Macaca fascicularis: one gene and its partners. The protein of the gene in region 1 interacts with the protein of each later gene in a biochemical or structural test. Links are inferred from orthologs where the notes say so. Each region holds a gene or a part of one and is shown on either strand. Other genes may lie near its edges.

What was found.
Region 2: the proteins of NUP153 (region 1) and NXF1 form a complex in vitro, tested with the Homo sapiens proteins (2 studies listed by BioGRID and IntAct). The link is inferred for Macaca fascicularis from reciprocal best matches to the Homo sapiens genes NUP153 and NXF1.
Region 3: the proteins of NUP153 (region 1) and KPNB1 form a complex in vitro, tested with the Homo sapiens proteins (4 studies listed by BioGRID and IntAct, with this or other methods). The link is inferred for Macaca fascicularis from reciprocal best matches to the Homo sapiens genes NUP153 and KPNB1.
Region 4: the proteins of NUP153 (region 1) and SENP2 form a complex in vitro, tested with the Homo sapiens proteins (2 studies listed by BioGRID). The link is inferred for Macaca fascicularis from reciprocal best matches to the Homo sapiens genes NUP153 and SENP2.

Annotation. Positions count from the first base shown.
Region 1 is NC_088378.1:155,270,697-155,275,415, forward strand, and holds part of NUP153 (nuclear pore complex protein Nup153), read left to right. Parts: intron 1-400; coding exon 401-673; intron 674-4,719. UniProt on the Homo sapiens protein: Component of the nuclear pore complex (NPC), a complex required for the trafficking across the nuclear envelope. Functions as a scaffolding element in the nuclear phase of the NPC essential for normal nucleocytoplasmic transport of proteins and mRNAs.
Region 2 is NC_088388.1:11,251,520-11,256,238, reverse strand, and holds part of NXF1 (nuclear RNA export factor 1), read right to left. Parts: intron 3,913-4,719; coding exon 3,803-3,912; intron 2,017-3,802; coding exon 1,980-2,016; intron 868-1,979; coding exon 799-867; intron 719-798; coding exon 663-718; intron 50-662; coding exon 1-49.
Region 3 is NC_088390.1:59,067,131-59,071,849, forward strand, and holds part of KPNB1 (importin subunit beta-1), read right to left. Parts: intron 4,706-4,719; coding exon 4,481-4,705; intron 3,246-4,480; coding exon 3,054-3,245; intron 2,290-3,053; coding exon 2,159-2,289; intron 1-2,158.
Region 4 is NC_088376.1:97,559,995-97,565,358, reverse strand, and holds the end of SENP2 (sentrin-specific protease 2), read right to left. Parts: intron 4,442-5,364; coding exon 4,346-4,441; intron 2,175-4,345; coding exon 2,112-2,174; 3' UTR 849-2,111; downstream 1-848. UniProt on the Homo sapiens protein: Protease that catalyzes two essential functions in the SUMO pathway.

The DNA of each region.
Region 1 (4,719 bases):
TTATTAAACATCAGTCTTTATTATGCAGTATGTGTATATATATGTATATATATATATATATATATATATATGCACATCATGAGGTGATTTCTGCACACATTAGATTTCTGGTGGGAGACTTTTCTGAGATATGTTCCTTTACCAAAAATTGTTGGCTGTGAAGGTATGGAGTAGTTGTTAATTGCAGTTTTTGTTTATATGAATTTAGTATGTTTCACTAAATAATGGTAGAGAGAGTTGTATTCTCAATCATTATTTAAAACTTGTCTTGATGGAATTTGGTTAACAAGGTAAGAGTCTGAAAAGAAGCTTGACATTTGCTTGTGGGTTTTCAGAAATTTCTTGAGGATAATCTGACATTAGCCACCATGGCGACTTAAGTGTGTCTTTGGGCCTCCAGGATCCTCCTTCGTATTTGGAACTGGACCTTCAGCACCATCTGCCAGTCCAGCATTTGGTGCTAACCAGACCCCAACATTTGGACAAAGTCAAGGTGCCAGCCAGCCCAATCCCCCAGGCTTTGGATCTATATCATCTTCCACAGCATTATTTTCCAGTGGTTCTCAGCCTGCACCACCTACTTTTGGGACAGTGTCAAGCAGTAGTCAGCCCCCTGTGTTTGGACAGCAACCTAGTCAGTCTGCATTTGGCTCTGGAACAACTCCTAATTCCAGTAAGTGTGCTGTGATGCTGTTGTATCTGTATGAGTTTTGTATGTCTTAAAATATTTTCCTTTGAGCTTGGAAACCATTTGTATGTTTAATTTTAAAATTACCTCTTGGCCGGGCACGGTGGCTCACGCCGTAACCCCAGCACTTTGGGAGGCCGAGGTGGGCGGATCATGAGGTCAGGAGATTGAGACCATCCTGGCTAACATGGTGAAACCTACTAAAAATACAACTAAATACAAAAAATGAGCCGGGCATGGTGGCAGGCGCCTGTAGTCCCAGCTACTCTGGAGGCTGAGGCAGGAGAATGGCGTGAACCCGGGAGGCAGAGGTTGCAGTGAGCCAAGATCGTGCCACTGCACTCCAGCCTGAGCAACAGTGCGAGACTCCGACTCGGGGAAAAAAAATTATCTCTTGTACTTGGCAGAATAAAGAGGTAATATGGTTGGATTTATATGTAAACAACATTCCCAGGTTTCACAGACTTATAACTTTTTAAGGTAGTAATGTATTTTAAAGTGTTAATTTTTACTCTGACTTGAGATTCATTCAGTCTGGTTTCTTTTCAACTCTGAATTTTTGGGCTCTCAGAGCTAGCTTTAAAGTGCATTTTCTGATCCTATTCATGATTGGATTTGCGTCAGGAAGTTACCCCCAGGTCCAGTGCTCTCTCCTGAGGCAGTCCCGCTGAGTTGTCTCATGACACTTTCTGTTTACTGATGATACTAGCTTTTCCATTTGACCTGCATATTTAAATATGACTAATCAAACTGTATTATAATCCTGTATTTTCTTAAAATTGTTGATTTTTTCTAATTGTGAAATATAACATGTAGAAAGGGGTGTAAAATATAAGTGAACAGTGTAATATTGAAGCAAATGCTATATAATAACCACCTGGGAGCCCCTCATATATCTGTTTTTGAAAACATTCCTCTCTTTCTCCACTCTAATGATGACCACCGCTTCGTCTTTTATGGTAATCGCTGTTCTTTGAGTTTTATTACTGCATTTATTGGCCAATATATGCATCCCTAGAAAATGTAGTTTTGCCTGCTTTTATATATAAATGAAACATTACTGTATGCAATCTTTTGATTCTTGATTCTTTCGCTCTAAGGTTTCTAAGGGTCATCCATGTTTTGCATATGGTTTATTGTCATTGCCATAGAATCATTGTATGTACATAAATCATTGTATGAATGTACTGCAGTTTATCTATTTACTGTTGACGTATGTTTCAGTTGTTTTTAACAACTAGGAAATGCTACTCTGCACATTCTTATATATGTACCTTGGTGCACATAAGTATGTTTTTCTAGAGTATATATGTTTTTCTGGAGTTTTTCTAGAGTATATACAGTGGCATGGGATTGCTGAATTAAAAGGTTTGTATATCTTATACTAGAAGATAATACAAACTTTTCCTGTTGAATTCTGCCAGTTCATACCCTACCACTATTGTATGAGTTCTTATATGTGGCTTCTACTTGATTTCTCATGTGTGTGAATTCTTTTTAAAAAGTGTTTTTTTTTTTTTTTATTGGCCATTTTTCAGTTTGGCTTTTACATATGGGTTTGTAAAAGTTCTTTATGTGTTCTGGTTATTGGTACTTTGTCAGTTAATGTACATACTAAAATTTCTCCTGTTTTCTGATATATATTAACCATTTTGATCAGGATTTTTTCCTCTAATATGAAATTGGGAAGTTTCGATTTCTTTCACACAGTTAACATTTTTCTCTGTCGTCTTCTTTTTTTATGTTTTTTTTAAAGACGGAATCTTGCTCTGTCGCCCAGGCTGGAGTGCAGTGGCTCTCACTGCATCCTCCTCCTCCTGGGTTCAAATGGTTCTCCTGCCTCATCCTCCCAAGTAGCTGGGACTACAGGCATCCGCCACCACGCCTGGCTGATTTTTTTGTATTTTTAGTAGAGACGGGGTTTCACCATGTTAGCCAGGATGGTCTCGATCTCCTGACCTCATGATCCGCCCACCTCAGCCTCCCAAAGTGCTGGGATTACAGGCATGAGCCACCACGTCCAGTCTTTCCTCTGTCTTCATAATATAGAGACAGTATATGGTTAGATCACGATTCGGATTATGGAAATGCTGATTATTGCTGAGCCATATGGTATACTGTAACTTTCTATCCTATACAGAATTTTGTTTCTCTGACATTATTGACTTCCTCTCTCTGTTAATTTTTTTAATTTAAAGAGCAATCAATTTTATAAACTAAATACAAAGAAAAAGTCAATTTTAGGGAGATCTTTCTTCCAGTTAAAGAATTGAGACAAGGCTACAAAGGCCCTAAAAATTAGGGTCACACTATTGTTAAAACTTGGGGAAGGACAGCATTTTAGGGTGGAGGTTCTCAGTTCTGTAACAAAGTAGACCTGGATAGTAAAGATGTTAGAGAATCCTTTTTTAAAATTTTTTAAAAATGTTTTGAGATAGGGTCTTACCTTGCACCCACAGACTGGAGTACAGCGGTAGAATCTCAGCTCACTACTGCCTCAACCTGCTGGGCTCAAGCCATTCTCCTGCCTGAGCCCGCCAAGAAGCTGGGACTACAGGCAGACACCACCACTACACCCATCTGTTTATTTTTGGAGTGGTTCGTGGTTTGTAGAGACGGGGTTTTGCCATGTTATCCAGGCTGGTCTCGAAATCCCGAGCTCAAGCAGTCCACCCACCTCAGCCTCCTAAAGTGCTAGGATTATAGGTGTGAGCTACTGTGCCCAACCAAGGTGTTAGAAAATTCTAGGCTCTGGGTAGCAGCATAACTATCCCCCCAAAAAAAGCCATACTACAAAGTCTAGTAAAGGTCATTCCCACAGAAAACACAAAGCATTCATTTTGTCATACATAAAAATGTAGTTTTAGTAATAATCCGGAAGCATTTTTGATAAAAGTGAAAACCACATTTTAAAGTTTTTCATTTTTAAAAACTGATATGTGTTATTTTGTTACATACAATGTATAATAATCAAATTAGGGCATTTAGGATATCCATCACCTTGAGCATTCATCATTTCTTTGTATCGGGAATATTTCAGATCTTCTCTTCTAGCTATTTTGAAATATACAATAAATTATTGTTAACTCTACTGTGCTCTCAAATACTAGAATTTATTCCTACTATCTAGCCATATATTTGTATTCATTAACCACCTTTCTTTTCCTACCACCATCCCAACCAAGCCTCTGAACCATCATTCTGTTCTCTACCTTTATGAGATCAACTTTTTTTTAGCTCCTACATATGAATGAGAACGTTGAATATTTGTCTTTGTGCCTGACTTATTTCACCTAACATAATATCCTTCAGTGCCATAGATGTTGTAGTAAATGACAAGATTTTATTTTCTTTTAATGACCAAATAGTATTTCACTGTATATCAGATCACATTTTCTGCAGCCATTCATCTGTTGATGTACACTTAGATTGATTCCATATCTTGGCTATTGTGAATAGTGCTGCACTGAACATCGGGTACAGGTATCTGTTTGATATACTGATTTCCTTTTCTTTGGATAAATAAGTAATGGGATTGCTGGATCATAAGGTGATTCTATTTTTAGATTTTTTGAGAAACTTCCATACTGCTTTCCATATGGTTATACTAATTTACATTCATACCAACAGTGTATAAGTTTCCATTTCATTGCCAGCATTTGTTAATTTTTGTCCTTTTGGTAGTAGCCATTCTAATGGGTGAAATGCTGCCTCATTGTGGTTTTGATTTGCATTTCCCTTATGATAGTGATGTTGAGCATCTTTTCAGGTCTATTGGCCATTTGTGTATTGTGTTTTAAGAAATGTCTATTCAGATCCTTTGCCCGCTTTTCAATAGGATTATTTGGGTTGTTTGTTTTTTGTTTTGCTGTTGAGTCCTTTGAGCTCCTTGTGTATTCTGGATATTAGTTCCCTGTTGTATGAATAGTTAGCAAACATTTTTTCCCTTTCAACAGATTTTTCACTCTGTTGATTGCTGTTTAATATAGTCCCTCTCGTCTATTTTTTTGTTGCCTGTGCTTTTGATGTCT
Region 2 (4,719 bases), on another chromosome or scaffold:
GGCATCCAGGAGCCCTTGCCGGTCTCCAGAGTCATAAATTGCATAGTACCTATGGGAAAATCAAAAGAGAAAGTATGAACTATGTGGTCTAGAGCCATAAAAGGACCCAGTAGCTCCCAAGAGTGAGTTGTGGCCGGGCATGGAGGCTCATGTCTGTAATCCCAGCACTTTGGGAGGCTGAGGCAGATGAACAGCTTTTGCCCAGGAGTTCAAGACCAGCCTGAGCAACATGGCAAAACCCTGTCTCTACTAAAAATACAAACAAAATGGCTGGGCGCGGTGGCTCATGACTCTAATCCCAACACTTTGGGAGGATAAGGCAGGCAGATCATGAGGTCAGGAGTTGGAGACTAGCCTGGCCAACACAGTGAAACCCCGTCTCTATGAAAAATACAAAAATTAGCCAGGTGTGGTGGCACACGCCTGTAGTCCCATCTACTGGGGAGGCTGAGGCAGGAGAATCACTTGAACCCTGGGAGGCAGAGGTTGCAGTGAGCCAAGATCACATCATTGCACTCCAGCCTGGGTGACAGAGTGAGACACTGTCCAAAAAACAAACAAACAAAAAAAAAACCCAAAAGAGTGAGGCTGAGGTGTGCCTGGGTCTGCCCACCTTTCCCTGCCAACCCCGGGGTGGGGAGAGGGGGCCCTGGGATACTTACTGTTGTAGGAAGTGCAGGACCAGACTCTTCAAGTTTTCTGTTCCAAAATAGCTTCCCTGAAATCAAACAAGATATTAGGAACATGGAAGCAGTATTCTCTCCACACATAAGTTCTTACTCAGTCCATGCTTCCTACCTTGCAGGGCGGTAACGTCGTGGGGGCTTCAACATCAAAGGCAATTGGCGGGGGTAGCTCATGGCCATCCTGTGGAAAGGAAATAAAAGTTGACAGTGTAGACTGAGCACAGTGGCTCACACCTGTGATCCCAGAACTTTGGGAGGCCGAGGCAGGCAGATGGCTTGAGCCCAGGAGTTTTAGACCAGCCTGGACAACATGGCAAAACCCATCTCTACCAAAAAAAAATACAAAAATCAGCTGGGCGTGGTGGTGTGTGCCTGTAGTCCCAGCTATTTGGGAGGCTGAAGTGGGAGGATCACTTGAACCTGGCAGGCGAAGGTTGCAGTAAGCTACGATTGTGCCACTGCACTCCAGCCTGGATGACAGAGCGAGACCCTGTCTCAAAAACAAAACAAAAGTTGACAGTTTAAACCAGAGAGAAAAAGGCTGGATGCATAAGTAGACTAAAGAACTAACAGAGAAGGATCAGAAGTCACGTATAAAAGCATCATGAAAAGTATCCAGGAATCCAGGCTGGGCACAGTGGCTCATGCCTGTAATCCCAGCACACTGGGAGGCCAAGGTGGATGGATTAGTTGAGGTCAGGAGTTCAAGACCATCCTGGCCAACATGGTGAAACCCCCGTCTCTACTAAAAATACACAAAGAAATTAGCTGGGCGTTGTGGCACATGCATGTAATCCCAGCTACTTGGGAGGCTGAGGCAGGAAAATCGCTTGAACCCAGGAGGCGGAGGTTGCAGTGAGTCTAGATTGCACCGCACTCTGGATAACAGAGCAAGACTCCATAAACGGCCTGGCAAGGTGGCTCACGCCTATAATCCCAGCACTTTGGGAGGCCAAGGTGGATGGATCACCTGAGGTGAGGAGTTTGAGGCCAGCCTGGCCAACATGGTGAAACCCTGTCTCTACTAAAAATACAAAAATTAGCCAGGCGTGGTAGCACATGCCTGTAATCCCAGCTACTCGGGCTCAGTAAACTGTGGCAGGAGAATCGCTTGAACCTGGGAGGCGGAGGTTGCGGTGAGCTGAGATCACGCCGTTGCACTCCAACCTGGGCGATAAGAGTGAAACTCCGCCTCAAAAAAAAAAAAATAATAAAAAGAAAAAGAAAACTATCCAGGAATCCTTGTGAGTGGGAGACACTGTGCTTGTTAGAATGAAAAAATTATGGACTTACCAGGCGTAATAACTTGGGAAATCGTTCGCGAATGGCGCTGTCAAGAACGGGACAGAAGTAAGTGATGCTTCAGAGCCACCGTGCCTCCTGGGCTGCTCTAGGAGCAAATATACCAAACCCGAGGGACAGCCCATCCCATCCTGCTCATCCCTCCACTCCCTCCCAGCCTGTGCTCAGGGAAAAATGGCCCCACTCCCCACCTGACCCGGGGCACCCAGACATGGACTGCCTTGAAGGCTGTCTCTTTTCTCTCTGCCTGACCCTGAGTGTCAAGGAGCAGTACTCCAAACCTAGGCTTTAAGCCCAGGACCTCTTTCCCCTCCCTGCCCCCCTTACCTTCCACCTACTCACCTGTGCAGCCCCGGGAGGAGGGAATGGGGTGGGAGCCCAGGGGCTCCGCTGCCTCACCAGGTATCCATCAGTTCTGCCAGGTCTGGCCTTGGCCAAGACCCAAACACACCACAGGGATGGCACAGGATGTTGGGGCAGGGAGATGAGCAGGTGGGGCTCAGGAAGAGGAGAAGCCAAGGAGTAAGAAAGGAGAGGAAAAGGAGGAAAAAGAGAAGAAGGCAAGATGGGGCAGGGGCAAGGCAGAGATGGGGAGGTATAGGAAACACAGAAGAAAAAGAAAGAGAAAGCAAAGAAAAAGGGAAAAGAACTACAAGGCAAAAAAGCATCTAGAAAAATGAGGGAGAAAAGGGAGAAACTGACACAGCCCTTTCTTTCAGCTGCCCCATCCCTGTGGTCCAAGGTAGAAATGAGAAACAAATCCTTGCTGTGGTGAGTGGGCACTTGCTGTTGGCCAGGTCTCTGTCTGCTACCTGGGTCCCGATCTGAGCTGGGCGTGGGGAGCAAAGCAGCCATGGGGGCAGGAGACCTCCCTCAGAAGGTGTGAGGGTTCAGGCCCTTGCAGGATTGTGGGGGTGAGGGTCCGTGCCCCACCTCTGTTGCCCCCAAGTTATCTCCTGATGGCCCCTCTGCGACTGTGCCTGTCTTAGGTTGTTCCTTCCCTGAGGAATCTTACCCGTCTCTGGCTAACCAGCCATCCACCGGGGCCAAACAGGGTGACGTGCAGTGTGTGAGTGAGGGAGAGGCAGCGCCCCCGAGGGGCTCAGTTCTCTGTCTCCTTGGTAGCCTATGCCCCCGTGGCCTCCACGCCCAGCACCTGCCTTGGGATTCCCTCGCCTGCTGGCGGGGCCCCAGCTCTGATCACGTCTTGGGGAACCCAGGTTTCTTCTTCAGGGAGATAGACAGATTGCATGCCACCAGCCCCTAGGAGGCCTCAACCTCAGCATGGGCAGGAATGCCCAGGCAACAACCCTGGGCAAGTGGATCCTGAGAAAAGGGTCCCTCTTCGCGCAAGGGCAAGAGGGACCATCACAGTACAAAGGACGGAAGGCCCATCTCAGTAAGGAAGTCCCAGGCAGGGAGGGCTTCCTCCGCCCACGGACATCAGGCTCTTGGTATAAGGCCACTCCATCTATAGGGTATGTACAAATACCCTCTGGTCAGAGTAGAAAGGAGAGATGCCTTTCCTGGAACAACAGGGTAGGGAGATTCTAGAAAAGGTTGTGTTCAGGAAGAAAGAGAAAGGCCACAGACCCAGCAAACAGATAGTCAGGTCAGAAGAGAAGAGAAAGGATCTCAGGACAAAGCTGGAAGACATAGACAGACCAAAGTGGGGAGCACGTGATCCTCCCAAAGGACAGGTGGTTCCAGCTCAGGGCTGCACATCTCCGCAGACGGGCCCTGGTCAGGATGCATTAGCTCAGCCTCCCAGGGGGTGAAGGTCCCCAGGAGGGGAGACACAGGCTACAACTGACCTGATGTAGGTGGACTGGTCTCGGAAGGTGTCACACAAGGAGTTTCCGTCGAGCCAGAGCTCTTCTAGTTTCAGCCCCTTTATCTTGTCCAACTCCCGCTCAGACTTCAACTGCAAAAGGTGGAAGGAAAAAGGGAGGAGACCCTGGTGAAGACAGCCAACTGGATCCCCATACCCCCAGTACCTACGCTTAGCTCTGAAATCTTCTTTTTTAATCTCTTAAAATTTTATTTTTTTGGGGGGGACAGGGTCTCACTCTGTCACCCAAGTTCAGTGCTGTGGCATGATCATAGTTCACTGCAGCCTCAAACTCCTGGACTCAAGAGATCCTCCCACCTCAGACTCCTAGGTATCTAGGACTACAGGCATGTGACATCATGCTTGACTAATTTATTTTTTAAATTAAAAAAAATTTTTTGGCCGGGCGTGGTGGCTCAAGCCTGTAATCCCAGCACTTTGGGAGGCCGAGACAGGCGGATCACAAGGTCAGGAGATCGAGACCATCCTGGCTAACACGGCGAAACCCCGTCTCTACTAAAAACACAAAAAGTTAGCCGGGCGAGGTGGCGGCGCCTGTGGTCCCAGCTACTCGGGAGGCTGAGGCAGGAGAATGGCGGGAACCCGGGAGGCGGAGCTTGCAGTGAGCTGAGATCCGGCCACTGCACTCCAGCCTGGGCGACAGAGCGAGACTCCGTCTCAAAAAAAAAAAAAAAAAAAAAAAAAAAAAATTTTTGAGACAGGTTGCTCAAGCTAGAATGCAATAGCGCAATCATAACTCACTGCAGCCTTGAACTCCTGTGCTCTAGCAACCCTCCCACCTCAGCCCCCAGGAGCAGCCTGGACTACAGGCAAGTGAACTCCTAGCCTTAAGTGATCTTCCTGCCCTGGCCTCCCAAAGTGTTAAGATTACAGTCGCAA
Region 3 (4,719 bases), on another chromosome or scaffold:
TCGCCTAGATATGGTGGCTCATGCCTGTAATCTCAGCAATTTAGGAGGCTGAGGCAGGCGGATCACTTGAGGTCAGTTTGAAACCAGCCTGGTCAACATGGTAAAACCCCATCTCTACTGAAAATATAAAAATTAGCCAGGCGTAGGGGCGCATGCCTGTAATCCCAGCTACTCAGGAAGCTGAGGCACAAGAATTCCTTGAACCTGGGAGGTGGAGGTTGCAGTGAGCCGAGACTGCACTCCAGGGCAACAAGAGCGAAACTCTGTCTCAAAAACAAAAACAAAAACAAAAACAAACAAACAAAAAAAAGAAAATACCCCAATTTTCTTCATTCCTTTAAAAAAGATGTCTTCATTTACAATCTCAAAGAGGCATGGAGATGATGGGCACAGTGGCTCAGGCCTCTAATCCCAGCACTTTGGGAGGCCAAGGTGGGCAGACCACCTGAGGTGTCAGGAATTTGTGACTAGCCTGGCCAACATGCAAAACCCCATCTCTACTATAAATACAAAAATTAGCCAGGCATGTTGGTGGGCACCTTTAGTCCCAGCTACTCTGGAGGCCGAAGCACGAGAAACACTTGAACCCGGGAGGCTGCAGTGAGCCAAGACTGCACAATTGCACTTCAGCCTGGGTGACAAGAGCGAAACTCTGTCTCAAAAAAAGGGGAGATTTTTGTGCTCAGCTCAGGTTTACTTTGCTCATGACTTTAGGTATAGCTCACACAAAACATGAACTGTTAAAGGTTGTCTCCAACTTAAAACACCTTTAAACAACATTTCAAAAGCTTTTTTCTAAGTCAACTGCATTTACCCCAAGTTCTTCATCCCACATAAAAATATGGTAGTTGGCCGGGCACGGTAGCTCATGCCTGTAATCCCGGCACTTTGGGGGGCCAAGGCAGGTGGATCACGAGGTCAGGAGATCGAGACCATCCTGGCCAACACAATGAAACCCCATCTCTACTAAAAATACTAAAATTAGCTGGGCATGGTGGCTTGTGCCTGTAGTCCCAGCTACTCAGGAGACTAAGGCAGAAGAATCGCTTGAGGAGGTTGCAGTGAGCCGAGACTGCACCACTGCACTCCAGCCTGGGCAACAGAGCAACACTCCGTCTCAAATAATAATAATAATAAAAAATAAAAATAAAATAAATGGTAGTTATTGATTTGGTGTGGCAATCAAATTCATAATGAATACTATCATTTCTCTTGTAACCGAACACTCCTGTTAACTGTCAATGCTGCAAAATGAAGGAACCTCTCTAGATCAATAACTGTCTACAAAGAAACTAGAGAAATTACACTATATTCAGATTTAAGCTATAAACTGAACAATTTTAAGGTAGGTGGAATTTGCATCTCTTTCTCTATCTTTAAACAAACCAGTCAACCAATCATGGGATTCTTTTTTTTTTTTTTTTTTTTTGAGATGGAGTTTCACTCTTGTTGCCCAGGCTGGAGTGCAGTGGCGCAATCTCAGCTCACTGCAACCTCTGCCTCCCAAGTTCAAGCAATTCTCCTGCCTCAGCCTCCTGAGTAGCTGGGACTACAGGCATGCGCCGCCACACCCGGCTAATTTTTTTGTATTTTTAGTAGAGACGGGGTTTCACCATGTTGGCCAGACTGCTTTCGAACTCCTGACCTCAGGTGATCCAGTTGCCTCAGCCTCCCAAAGTATTGGGATTATAGGCGTGAGCCACCGCGCCCAGTGGGATTCTTTTTTTTTTTTTGAGACTGAGTCTCGCTGTTGCCCAGGATGGGAGTGCAGTGGCGCAATCTTGGCTCACTGCAAGCTCCGCCTCCCGGGTTCACGCCATTCTCCTGCCTCAGCCTCCTGAGTAGCTGGGACTATAGGCGCCCGCCACCACGCCTGGCTAATTTTTTGTATTTTTAGTAGAGACAGGGTTTTACCTTGTTAGCCAGGATGGTCTTGATCTCCTGACCTCGTGATCTGCCGGCCTCGGCCTCCCAAAGTGCTGGGATTACAGGCTTGAGCCACCGCGCCCAGCACTGGCGGGACTCTTAATTCCACTAGAGAAGGTAGAGTCTTGTCCTGTCTCACTATGCTTCTATGATTAAGCTAGATATCCTCCACATAGAAGGCAACAGAACTTGGATGCAAAGACGTTACTCATTTCTGTGAAATATCAGTTACCTGTCTGTAGTCTCCAGGAGCTTCTGAACTATGAGTTCAAATGAAGAAGACAAGCAATAAGTAGCTGGTTCTTCCTGATCATCAGCAACATCTGCAGCTTCATAAGCAGCTTCAGCCAGACTGGAGAAAGCCTGAAATGCAGATAGGTTCAGTGTTAATCCTGAAAGAACCCCACACCTTAGGACCATCTCATTTTTCATTAAGATACTTTGGGCTGTGTCAGTGAACTTCCAACTTTTTCTGCCAAGGTAATCTCTTAAGATGGCATTTTACGGGTGTCTTTTAAATTAACTATTTATTTATTTGATTTGTACTTTCTGTTCATCCTGTCTGATAATCTGACAACTCTCTAAGCAGCAGAGTACTTTCACCAACACCTGCCATTTCTTCTGTTTCTGATCACAGAAATCCTGTCCATTTCATTTCTCCTGTTTCCTTTCACAGACTTTTAGCCCCATTCCTTATATTCCTTATTTGAACTTCCTCCCCTTAACCAAATACATTAGCGTATACTGACTCAGCATTTAGGCTGCCTACCTTCCTTTCCTCTTGCCCTCTTCTCAGCAATGATACTTCTTGTAGCCAACAACTCTCTACCTTAATCAAAACTTCTTGTCCCCAAGCAATTCAAGAAAGCAACCCAAGTCCAGATAGTTTCCCCACTGGGTTACCATGACTGTTCTAAGTGGTTCAGGAACCAGTAACCGTGAGTCAACTGTTCCCACTGGCTCTTGCAGTTGGAATCTCCCCCACATTTTAATTGAATAAATTAGGAAGAAAATGTTATTCAGAAAAAGGCTTCCAGTGAGGCAGATCCATTTCTCTCCCACACCTTCTACTTTCTTGCCAATGGCAAAGGCAAGCTCCTTTTCTCACCCGGAAGAAAACCCCTTACCCAGCACACATTTGAAGCCACTCTGGGTTCAGCACTGAGGCCCTCAATCAGACACTGCAGCAGGGGAGCCAAGTAGACATCATTGATGGCAGCTTCAGGAAGCAGCTCACAAATTCTGCCTACAGTCCATGCAGCTGTATCTCGAACAACTACACTGGGGTCTTTCATTAATTCTATTAAGGTGGGCATAGCCTGAAAATATAACAGTTATTAGCAAAGCAAAACAAAGATTAAAATTCATGTTAACTACTACTTCAGAAAAAGAAATACTAATGGATGGCTTAACTCAAAAAAGTCACCACGATACTTTTGTAATTTTACAGGACATGGTATGAAACATCTTTCAAAATATTTGAAAATATCTTTCAAAACTCCAGTTTAGAGTTTTATATTAAAAATTTGGTATAAATGCTTTCAGTAGTCTGCAATAAATTACTCAGATAGAGGCCGGGCATGATGGCTCATGCCTATAATCCCAGCACTCTGGGAGGCTGAGGCAGGCAGATCACTTGAGGTCAGGAGTTCAAGACCAGCCTGGTCAACATGATGAAATCCAGTCTCTCTACTAAAAATACAAAAATTAGCTGGGCATGGTGGCACATAGTCCCAACTACTCAGGGGGCTAAGGCACGAGAATTGCTTGAGCTGGGGAGCTGGAGGTTGCAGTGAGCCTAGATTGTACCACTAAGCTTCAGCACTCCAGCACAGGTAACAGAGTAAGACTCCAGCCCCCCGCCTCCCCACCTCAAAAAAAAAAAAATTACTCAGATACTCAGAATTCCCAGGATGCAGCTACGATGGCATCTGGCTATATCCACAAAGACTGAATTCTTTAAGCACTAAACTCAAGTATAACAAACTCCTTTTCTTTTTTTTGAGATGGAGTTTCACTCTTGTTGCCCAGGCTGGAGTGCAATGGCACGATTTTTAATAAAAAAACAAGCACAACATTTCCACAAGAACATTTTCATTATATAAAGGCCATTTTGTCCAAAGAATAGAATAATAATGCCATTATTTAAAATTATGGGGAATCAGTGCTAGGTGCAAAAAAAAATTATCGGGAAATGTTTACAACATAGTATTAAATGAAGAAACAAGTTATAAAACAATCTGCACAGAAAGCGCCTGTTGCACACACATTTACACAGGAAAAAGCTTCAAGGATAAATACAGAGTTAAGAGCGGTTATTTCTGGGCAATGAAATTAAAGGTGACTTCTCTTTTGGCTTTTTTCAAAAGTCTCTGGATCATGCTGACTAATTAGAAACCTAAGAAATATATTTTACTCTCATTAAAAGTAAATAGGTATCTATAAATAATCTTTGTAGATGACAATTTACAGTTTTGTTTTGAAAAATAAAGATATGCTTTAAGTTTAAACAATAAATATTCTACTTTCTACTCCAAAAATCCCTCAGCTTCACCTGTATAACTAGTGGTTTGAGCTGACTGGGCTCTGGTCCTTCCAAGATACAACCAAAAGCCATCACTGCTGCATCCCGGTACCGCCAATCTGGGTTCTTGATGTGTTCTTTAATGAACGGGAGGACATGTGGGACAATGTCATCTTCACAGCAGGTGGCCAGAAGCATGAGGCACACCCCTGCTGCTTTACAGGGGTTCCAGTCATCGTCATCATCATTTTCGTCCTGGTGAAAGAATA
Region 4 (5,364 bases), on another chromosome or scaffold:
GAATACAAACTGCCATTCCTAACAGGACTTACCTAGCATGGAATCAATCTTTTTTTTTTTTTTTTTTTTGAGACGGAGTCTCACGCTGTTGCCCAGGCTGGAGTGCAGTGGCGCGATCTCGGCTCACTGCAAGCTCCGCCTCCCGGGTTCCCGCCATTCTCCTGCCTCAGCCTCCTGAGTAGCTAGGACTACAGGCGCCCGCCACCGCGCCCGGCTAATTTTTTGTATTTTTAGTAGAGACGGGGTTTCACCGTGGTCTCGATCTCCTGACCTTGTGATCCGCCCGCCTCGGCCTCCCAAAGTGCTGGGATTACAGGCTTGAGCCACCGCGCCCGGCGCATGGAATCAATCTTAACCATGGTACCAAACTCTCAAGTGAAGCACGCTGATGCCCAGTGAAAGCCAGGTGTTTGGTATAATGCTGACCTAGTGACCTCTGGCCTTTTTGGCTGTGCTCATTGCCTGGTCCCAGTAGTCACTCAGTGCCAGGAGCCCAGGGAAAGGAGCAGGGGCTGCAGGAAGGAGGGAGGTGTAGCACAACCTGCTCCCACTTCAATCATCACCCAACCACATGGCCTCTGGCTGACCATCAAGTAGGCCCAGCATTTTCAATCCACACCACAGGCCCATGTCCTAAACCAGGATTTTACAAGTCTCAGGGAACTGGCTGCAATAGCTATAACCAGTATACCTCTGGGACCAGCAGCCGGAGCACTCCAAATGGCAGGCATGTAGATTCATAGGTAACACATGCCCAATTTTTCCAGTTTTACCTCTTGCTTTTATGAACCAGAACAAGTTTGGGAGGTTGAAGTAGGGAGAGGGTTGGAAATCATTTCAGCATATACTTTTTTAGGTTCTGCCAGACAACCTTTTATTACATCAGAAAAGCAACACTAGGCACTAGATCTTGCAAAATATGTTCTGACCAACTCTAAACTTTCTGAAGTTATAACCACATCAGTAAGGTTTTTAATGAACAAAAAAGTTAAATACAAACTTTCATATGCAAAATAGATTATTGTATAACTGGCAACCTCAGAGCCAAGTACTAAATTTTCTTCCACAAATTTCAGTGGGGATGGAGTGGGGAGATGTCAGTCTTAATGAGTAGAAAACTTAATTTAGGCTTAATATATAGAAAACAAAAACTCTGAGGAAAAATAGCTTTAAATTGAATAGTATCTTTTGAATTAAACAGCTCAGGCCAGGCCCTATAATTCTGAGGTTTATACTCAATCAGATCTGGGATGAAAATGAAGATTTAGGGTTTACAGTTACTTCAAATCCATGAATCCAGTTTCAAGACTAAGCCAAGTCACCTCATTTCCAGAAAGGGAAGTCTCTTTAAGATGACAACACATCTCTTCGGAAGATGCTTGGATAGTCAGAGTTCCTTGGGCACAGGTCCACTGTTCATGGCACTGTGCCAACGCTGTAGTGTCAGACTTCCTCTGAAAGGCAACGGGAGCCCTATCCCACAGCATTTTCATTTCTCCCAGCATTTTTGAGCCTCAAAAAAACAAAAACAAAAAACAAAATCCCAAACCCTCCAGCTTCATGTTGGCAGTTACTGCTCCAGCTCCACTTCCTTCCGCCCCCAGTGAGAGTTCCCTCCTGGTCTTCAGCAGGGAGTGGCAGCTTGAGTAACATTCCTTTCAGAAATAAATAGTTCAAACAAGTAATTTAGAGCTAACTGTAAAAGAGCAGCAGCAAATGACCACTGCCCATTATGTTTGCAAACGAGTGAGTGAATGAATACGCTGAACAAACACACAGAAAACAAACAATTCACAGAGTAAATCCTGCATTTCCCACATTCATAGGGAAAAGAATCTCTTAAAAAAAATAGTAGTTAGCGTTTGTTCTTGTGTGGGTTGAACAGTCCAAAGCTCTGAGCAGGCACAGCCTTACAAACAGGATTGCAAGCAGCCCTCTGCACCCCAAGTCAGGACTAGGGTGCAGTGAGAGGCCTTCATGCACTTTTGACAGCTCAGTACCTGTGAGAGAACAGAAGTGATGCAGGGACTTTTTAACCCACAATGCATGAGGTATATGGAAATGTCTGTGAAAGAACCACCAGCAGCTAGAGGGGACCAGGCAAAGTTTTCTCACAGCAACTGCTGATGAAGGATTTCCCACACCATCTTCTTCCGGAAGAGAGGCATCTGGTGCTGCAAAGAATCCCATAAACAACACATGCATTACATCATAATGTGCACAGCAGCACAACCTTCAGGTGTAATCATGTCAATAAAGCAGGATGTCCATGTTCTTTTTCTAAATGTTGACATTTTTATATCATGGAACATACTTATCAAACCATTAAAAGGCCGGGCGCAGTCCCAGCACTTTGGGAGGCCGAGGAGGGCAGATCATAAGGTCGGGAGATCGAAACCATCCTGGCTAACACGGTGAAACCTCGCCTCCATTAAAAATACAAAAATTAGCCGGGCATGGTGGTACATGCCTGTAGTCCCAGCTTCTCAGGAGGCTGAGGCAGGAGAATCACTTGAACCTGAGAGATGGAGGTTGCAGTGAGCCAAGATCATGCCTCTGCACTCCAGCCTGGGCAACAGAGCAAGACTCCATCTCAAAATAATAATAATAATAATAATAATAATAATAATAATAATAAAAAACTAGTGATGTCCTACCTAGGGGTGGGGGCTAAAAAGTCTTAACACATGATTCTTAAATTATTTTAAATAGTTCAAAACATCTAGTAAAAACTGCACATTTGCTCTTAGTAAAACTGCTAAGACTAAGCAATAAATGCCTTTATTTTTTACTGGAATTGTATTAATTCAGCATGGGAGTCCTAGTTACTTCATGTAATACAGTTTGTATTATAGTTTGTATTCATGTAATAAATACAGTTTGCTTGGTAGACATCTATCAAAATAAAGTCTGTGGATGAAAAATATATATATATATTTTTTGAGACAGAGTCTCGCTCTGTCGCCCAGGCTGGAGTGCAGTGGCTGGATCTCAGCTAACTGCAAGCTCTGCCTCCTGGGTTTACGCCATTCTCCTGCCTCAGCATCCCCAGTAGCTGGGACTACAGGCGCCCGCCACCTCGCCCGGCTAGTTTTTTGTATTTTTTAGTAGAGACGGGGTTTCACTGTGTTACCAGGATGGTCTCGATCTCCTGACCTCGTGATCCACCCGCCTCGGCCTCCCAAAGTGCTGAGATTACAAGCTTGAGCCACCACACCGGCCTGAAAAATATTTTTAATGAGGTTGTCCTCAGTTGTAAAAAGGTTGAGAATCCACTGTTACAAATTCTCAAGAATTCCCAACATACTTGAGTTTCCAATCAAATGCAGAGCCATGGAGAATTAAACAAACAAAAGAGCAGAACAGAAAGGAAGAGCAGTATTCACAAGTTACATCTTAGACCTGTGACTTCAATGCTCACAGGCCTGTTTTTCCCTTCCTATTAAATACTGACATACCTCTTTCTTTGGCTAGAAATAATAATACACAGGAACCAATGAATGCCAGAGTTCAGAGGTTTGCAATTTGTGCCCATTGTGTACCAAAGACTAGGATAAACCTGAGAGCAGATAAAATAACAAACCCTGATTCTGGCAGGGGTAGGGCTAAAACCAAGATTTACAGCAATAAGAATAGCACAGCTACTACTATTTTTTTTTTTTTTTTTGGGGAGATGGAGTTTCGCTTTTGTTGCCCCAGGCTGGAGTGCAATGGCGTGATCTCGACTCCCCACAACCTCCACCTCCTGGGTTCAAGCAATTCTCCTGCCTCAGCCTCCCTAGTAACTGGGATTACAGGCATGCGCCACCACGCCCGGCTAATTTTGTATTTTTAGTAGACACAGGGTTTCTCCATGTTGGTCAGGCTGGTCTTGAACTTCTGACCTCAGCTGATCCACCTGCCTTGGCCTCCCAAAGTGCTGGGATTACAGGCATGAGCCCAGCTACTATTATTTATTTATTTTTGAGACAAGAGTCTCGCTCTGTTGCCAAGACTGGAGTGCACTGGTGTGACCTCGGCTCACTGCGACCTCTGCCTCCTGGGTTCAAGCGATTCTCCTGCCTCAGTCTCCTGAGTAGCTGGGATTATAGGTGTGCACCACCACACCTGGCTAACTTTTGTGTTTTTAGTAGAGATGGGGTTTCACCATGTTGGCCAGGCTGGTCTTGAACTCCTAACCTCAGGTGATCCGCCTGCCTCGGCCTCCCAAAGTGCTGGGAATATAGGTGTGAGCCACCACGCCTGGCCAGCTACTACTACTGAGAGCTGAACATGTGCCAGGCACTGGCCAAGTGCCTTATCTTGCTTAGTAACAAGTAAATGAATGAGGAGGGTCTTCACTCACCTGAGTAAATGTGATAGGTTTGTCCCTAGAAATATAATCTGCATATTTACAAGTAAACATTCCACAATCACTCCCATTCAACTGTTGAGGAATCTCCTAAAATTACAAAGAAAAAAGAAGGGAGGAAAGGGTAAAACATCATTATATACAAATCCCTTGGACTTTTTCTAAATATTGCTATAAACAATATTATAAAGGTAAATATTAAATCAGGTATTACCTAAACACACCATCATAAACAAAAAAACACAATTATTCTTACTCTGTGTGGTATAAAACATAGATCATAGCAAGGGAAAAACAGGCCTTGTGAGAACTGAAGCCACAGGTCTAAGATGTAACTTGCAAATACTGCTTTTCCTTTCTGTTCTGTTCTTGTGTTTAATCTTCCATGGTTCTGCATTTGATTGGAAACCCAGACTATGAGATGGAGAGCGTGACCCCATAGGAAAAATGTTTTTCAGAAAAGAAAAAAACAAAGTGAAAGTTCCATATCTCAGCTCCCATTCAAAGAAACCAAATTGAAAGGAGGTTTACTACCGGGAATGCTAGTCAGAATTATTTCAGAAGCATTTATTAATTTTAAAAAGGGCCAAGTGTGGTCAATCAGAAATGTAATTTCTCTAGCTAAGAAAATAAGACTACTGCTTTGGACCCTTACAGCTTCAAGGCGGACGAGAGAAGTTCCTGAATAGGCTTTAACCAATCAGGATCTTGCCTTGACAGATCAGTTATGCCCTAAGGCAAAAACAAGACTTGCTACAAGCAGCACTAAAAGCTTAATAAGCCAAAGGTGGTGGATTCTAAACCCACTGAGCTCACACCTTCTCCAGGCCTGTGTTGCCCTAACCTTGGCGGTTCCTGACACACTCTGGCTGTCAGTCACAAGTAGCACAAGTTAGTAAGAATATGGGAGAGGCCGCTTCCACTGCTGGAAAACACACTAGATGACAAAAGCTCAATTTTTATTCAAAGAAATGAAGTTAATTATGATTTTTAAAGTTTGCTTAAATACATAC